Saccharomyces cerevisiae S288C: one gene and its partner. Changing the gene in region 1 together with any one later gene gives a genetic interaction. Each region holds a gene or a part of one and is shown in the gene's direction. Other genes may lie near its edges.

Region 1 (3,768 bases):
CGATATAAAGAGGCTCGCGATTTATTTTTAAAGATATATTACAAGGAAGAATTTTCATCTGACGAAAGTATAGAAAGGCTCATGACATGGAAATTTAAATCACTTATTGAGATATTACGTTTAAGAGCCCTACAACTCTATTTTCAGAAAAACGGTGCACAGGATTTAGTTCTACAAATTTTAGAAGACACGGCAACTATGTCGGTTTTTTTACAAAGAATAGACTTTCAAATTGATGGAAATATATTTGAATTACTTTCTGATACTTTTGAGGTATTGGCACCCAAGTGGGAAAGAGTATTCTTGTTCGACATCGAGAAAGTTGATAGGGAAAATATGATCTGCAAAATTGATTTCCAAAAAAACTTCATGGATCAGTTTCAATGGATTTTAAGAAAGCCTGGCAAGGATTGTAAACTCCAAAATCTCCAGCGTATAATTAGAAAAAAGATATTTATTGCCGTTGTTTGGTATCAAAGGTTAACCATGGGGAATGTATTCACCCCGGAAATTTCTTCCCAAATAGAGATTCTTGTGAAAGATAATGAATGCTCTTCTTTTGAGGAAAATAATGATTTGGAAAGTGTATCTATGTTACTGCAGTATTACATATTGGAGTATATGAACACTGCACGAATAAACAATAGAAGGTTGTTTAAGAAGTGCATTGACTTTTTTGAAATGTTGATATCTAAGTCGCTTACTTTCTCACAAGAATCTGGACTGATGGTAATATTATATACCTCTAAGATTGTATTCATTTTAGACTCTGATTCAGAGAATGATTTATCCTTTGCGCTGATGAGATATTATGATCGGAAAGAAGAGCTAAAAAATATGTTCCTCTATATCTTGAAACACTTGGAAGAGATGGGAAAACTTCGGGAGAGGGATATTACCTCTTTGTTTCACAAGTTCATTCTTAGCGGCTTCATTTTCACGAGCATGATTCTAGAAGCAATTAGCACAGACAAGATTAATCCTTTTGGTTTCGAACAAGTGAAGATTGCGCTAGGCAGCCCTATTGTTAACGTATTAGAAGATGTCTACAGGTGCTTCGCACAACTGGAACTAAGACAGCTGAATGCAAGTATATCTCTTATTCCTGAATTGTCCGTAGTACTAAGTGGAATTATTCAAGATATTTACTATCTGGCGCAGACATTAAAGTTGTGGAGAAAAATTGCACGATTATACTCCTGTATCTCCATAAGTGACATTATAAGTATGCTGCAAATAAGTGATGACAATGAAATGACAAGAGATGATTTGCTAACAATTTTAATGAGGTCAATAATGAAAAATAGATCGGTTGTGTATTTTAAGTTAGATTTGACAAGTGATTTAGTCTATTTCGGAGACGAGAATAAAGTCATGCTACCGAGATGTTCTAAAGAAGAATTTCGTCTTATGATCTCTCCCAAGGATGAAGAAACCACTGAAAAGGCCAGGCTAATAGATTTTGAGTACGTTAACGATGTCGCGATTTATAATAACCCAACAAGAATAAGAACCAAATCCTCTAAAGAATTTTTCAATACATTAAGAAAATCTAGGGAAACTGTAAAATTACCGAGGGTAAGCAACCAGTCGAATGAAGATACTTTTCTACCATCGTATATGAAGTTTTCCAACAAGTACCTCGAGCTGTGCAAACTGGCCTCTAACAATCTGGAATAGAATGTCGATCAGGCACGTTCGTGTAAACATTACGATTTTGGAATTCCACTTACATAAGATAGCTTCTTTGTAAAAGCCGTTCGAAGATTTCGTTTATAGTGATGCTTTTTCTGGAGAGATTTAAGATAATAAGGATATGTGGAAGGAAATGAAAATGTACACCTACAAAGCGTTGATGGTATGGAAACTATCGACCATAGTTTGTTAAACAGGAAATATTTGCTTGAGGGTAAAGTGTTCTGATTCATTATACAAAGCCCCTTGCTTATAAGAAAAGAAACCAAATCAGAAAAGGAGATTATTTCAAGGTAGGCATCGAAATGGCAAGTAACCAGCACATAGGAGCTTCAAACCTAAATGAGAATGAGGCTATATTAACCAACCGCGTTGCTGAGCTGGAAAGGCGTATGTCGATGTTTGAGGGTATATTTCACGCGTTAAGTAACCGTCTCGATCTTCACTTTAAAAAATATGATGTAGTGGTAAACTCCCAACAGCAACAAATCAACGAACTGACCGCGTTTTTATCAACATTGCTGAATGACCAACAACGCCACGCTGAAATTCTCAGTGAAAAATTAAGCGGAACGTTGCATGGGGTGTCAGCTACGTCAATATCCTTAAGCCAAACTCTTGACCCACAAGGCTTCACTGATGGAACTACGGCACCAGGAGCTCCTAGGAATTATACTTCAGTGCCTATGAATAATGATCAAACTGCTCATCCGCAAAATGAAGGAGCTGTTAGTAATGAAACACTTTTTGAGGACATTTTGAATGGAAATTCACAAGAAAATGATAAGAGTCAACAACAAACTAACAGCTCAAATTCTATAAGCCAAGAAAATAATAGCACCAACCCTTCAGTGGACACTCGGTTCAACAAGCCGCAAAATTATAATTCCAATTTAGTCCCATCCTTGGAAGAGTATTCAGCAAATCCACCTAACAATGATGGTGGCCAAAGTCAAGGACTGTACATAAGCAGCAACTCTTCTCAATCACGGCAGTCTCCTAATCTCCAGAAAGTTTCTCCTAACCATGAAAATGCGGTTGAATCAAATGCACAAGAGAGCGTGCCGACATTTGAGGAGGAACAGTATGAGACTAAAACAGGATTGAAACGGAAACGAATAGTCTGCACAAGACCCTTCGAATTTATCAAGTCACCACACTCTGTGATGGAGGTTTGGAAGGAGTATACAGAAGGTGTTAACGGGCAGCCTTCTATAAGGAAAATGGAAGCTCTTTATCAAACGGCATGGAGGCGAGATCCAGCAGTAAATAAAAGATATTCGAGAAGAAAGGTTCTTTGGAAAGCCATTCAAACTGGCCTTAATCGTGGGTATTCATTAAACTATGTTGTTGAAATATTAGAAAACTCAAGATATGTTAATGATAAACAGAAGGTTAAACAACCTATTGGTTGGTTATGCCACAGTTCTCATATTCCAGAGACTTTGAAGTGACATTTGCTTCTTGTGTATTCACCTTTATCCCAAATTAGCCCTTGTAACACTTATGCTTTTCTTAATAAATTAATAATTGGACTTTCCTTTAAAGTGGGTTGTATCTGTAACAATAATCTCTAATAATATCCTATAAAACTCAGAAGTCAGCCAACAACAATTGTATACGTATACATATCTATATAATATGCCTTGTACTTTACGCTCTTGAATTTAGAATAGCTGAACACCTAACTGAATTTAAGTAAAGGATCCCAAGCGTGAGATATTTAGGTTTACTCAGTTTTCTTATCTTGCCTTTTGATTATCACGTTGAGTGTCGAAGAAACCTGTATTCATCCTCGGCTTCTTGTATATGATTCTAAAATAATGTGTGAAAAAAAAAATAAAATAAAAAAAAGAGGAAAATAATATAGAATAACTATTAAGTTTCATTAAAAAAAAACCATTTGAATATACGACCAAAAACGTTACGCTTTCATAAAGTGTGAATAAGCAAGGGAACTATACTTGAAATATGGGGGCAAAGAGTGTAACAGCCTCTTCTTCAAAGAAGATTAAAAACCGGCATAATGGGAAAGTGAAAAAGAGCAAGAAAATCAAGAAAGTACGGAAACCA
Region 2 (2,507 bases), on another chromosome or scaffold:
GATGCGGCAATGTAAGCGATCTGCTTATACATTTGCTTGTAATTGTGAGTTACCCAGCCGCCCTCGTGCTCTGTAGTGCCATCCATACCAATGACCCAGTCTGCTCCAAAAAGGGCATTGAAAATTAGTCCTATTACGCCTGCAACCCCGTGCTCAGCTAGAATGTCCATGGCATCATCTACTTTAGCGTAGTATTTCAACTTCGTCGCAAAGTTACACACTACCCCCGCCACAATGCCTTGAATAAGTGAACCGTAAAGGGTTATACAGCCTGAGCTTGGCGTTGCAGCCACCAGCCCAGAAATGATACCGGAGCACAGACCAACTGTCGACCATTTCTTCTCCGATCTGTAATCCAGAAGACACCACGTCATCCCACCAGTAATGGCACTGAGACATGTATTCATGAATGCATAAACTGACCTCAAATTTGGGGATAATGAGGATGCAGAATTAAATAGCAGCCAGCCAAACCACAGTATGGATGTGCCTAGAGTGACCAATGAAACATTATGAGGCCTGAAATTTATCAGTAACTTTTCATTTCTTTTGCCCAAAAACCAAGAGTAAACAAACCCGGAAACAGCGCTTAATATTTCAATGTTGCCGCCGCCTGCCCAATCGAGGACTCCCCATTGGTATGCCCAACCACCTGGTGACCAAATCCAATACGTCACTGGACAATATCCAATGGTAGCTAGAATAAAGAGAAAAACCATGTGCGGTAGCAGCCTGCCTCTTTCGGCAGTGGCGCCAGCGATAATACTTAAGTTGACGCACGAAAACATCATTTGGAAGGTTGCATACGCGAGCTCAGGGTAGGCATCTTCATCGAATTTTTTTCCGTACACGTTTCTAAAGCCAAACGAATCTAGATTCCCAATGAATTTATTATTCGGAGCGGACTTTGAAAAAGCTAGAGAGTAACCCCAGAAATACCATTGCAGTATACCGACCAAAGTCGCCATTAATACAACCCAGATTAGTGCTAGTGCAGACTTCCTTCTTGCCAATCCGGAGTACAAGAATCCCAATCCGGGCACCATAAAAAATACTAGGGCGGCACCTAATATCATGAAGGCCACAGTGGGGCCATCGTAGGTTTCAGTCGTTAAAGGCCCTGTAGTTCGACTCTCCATAGTTTCTACAGTATAAGAATCCGTACTGCAGTTATGTTTACTAAAATAATTCTCTGATCATAAGCCTAAACAAGTTACAAGAGCGCCTATATAAATAAACTACCTTTTAAGTATCTTATTCTGGAACTGCATTATCGACTGGTAAGCAGAAGGTGCTATAGAAGCCTACACCACTTTTCCGATTTTTTTTTTTTTTTTTTTTCAGGAAAAACATCTTCCATCAATACTTTGTCATTTCTTTCTTCTTCTCTTCTGTGCTTACATAGCCATAAGATGTCACACAAGGGTGTCTGTAGCAATTGTGAATCTTATCGTTATCGCAATCTCTGAGATGTCTCATCCAATAAGAGGGGCGCGTGTCCGCAGAGATAAGCAACCAGGGCCTTTTCTTTTGCACTCAGCCTGACAAAGGGAGGGGAGGCGCAAAACAAAGTTCGTGGCAAAGGACAACCGTAGAAGAGCATCGCCATGTTGATTTTGAAGAATGTCAAGACACAAGTACAAGTTATGGATGTGCATCGCAAAGGGAAAAAGGGGAGTGGGGGAAAGAAATACGTTTGTCCCTAAGTGCTCTTATGCTCCCTTTTGTGCTTCAGAGGTTCTTGATCAATTATTAAGAGGGGATAACTCTATCGTATATAACTTTTATCTTAAAAATGGTTCAGGTAGTGTTTATATAGGCTCAGTCTTTCTTATCTGAAAAAAAACAGTACGGGATTTTTTGTGCGCTCGAATAGTGCCGAACTCAATTACGGGCTGTGGTAACACTTGAGATCTTGTCTTCCCTTACAAATAGCTCTAGGGGTGTTGCATGTAGCCGCAGTAACATCTTGAAGAAGTGTACACTTTTGAGGGGACGCCATTGTGTTACGTTCTATGTATTGAATAGTATAGTTTTCAATTTTCCTGCGCTGACGTAAACCGGCTGTAAGAAAAAACGTATAATCGAGAACTGGTTATTCAAAGGTTGAACTTTAAAGTGAAAAGTAGCTCTAACAAAATAAATCATGCGTGAGAATGCAATGTCTACAAAGAAACTTCCCTATAAATTATCTGGCAGCAGCAAAATAACAACTTCCATACCTAATGATTTAATCATACTGCGAAATAATTGCATAAATTCACTGAACAGTTCCTCGTCCAAAGCTGACAGCATTACATGTATAGATACGTGGCTAAAATACACAGAGGGTTTGTTAACCCACAGGTACGAAGCTAATAATGACGCCGCTCTCATTGAAGAGGAGATAGCGATTGCGTTAATCAATGTTGCCGTATTTTATCAAGACATCGGTATTGAAACATTGTACAGAGCTTATGAATCTTCACAAGCGTCAAATAACTTATGGACAACAAGCGGGACCTATC

Evidence for each region. A genetic interaction does not mean that the proteins touch.
Region 2: mutations in MSN1 (region 1) and YGR121W-A together harm fitness more than expected from each alone (negative genetic interaction), as found in Saccharomyces cerevisiae (one large-scale study listed by BioGRID).

The regions. Positions count from the first base shown.
Region 1 is NC_001147.6:97,809-101,576, forward strand, and holds MSN1 (Msn1p), read left to right. Parts: upstream 1-2,000; coding exon 2,001-3,149; downstream 3,150-3,768. Other genes in the region: RRI2 (Rri2p), read left to right, coding at 1-1,680; non-canonical poly(A) polymerase PAP2, read left to right, coding at 3,667-3,768. UniProt on the Saccharomyces cerevisiae protein: May function as a transcriptional activator. Increased dosage of MSN1 restores invertase expression in yeast mutants defective in the SNF1 protein kinase, and msn1 disruption reduced derepression of invertase in the wild-type. May affect SUC2 expression.
Region 2 is NC_001139.9:731,789-734,295, forward strand, and holds YGR121W-A (uncharacterized protein), read left to right. Parts: upstream 1-1,623; coding exon 1,624-1,839; downstream 1,840-2,507. Other genes in the region: ammonium permease MEP1, read right to left, coding at 1-1,139; YGR122W (uncharacterized protein), read left to right, coding at 2,147-2,507.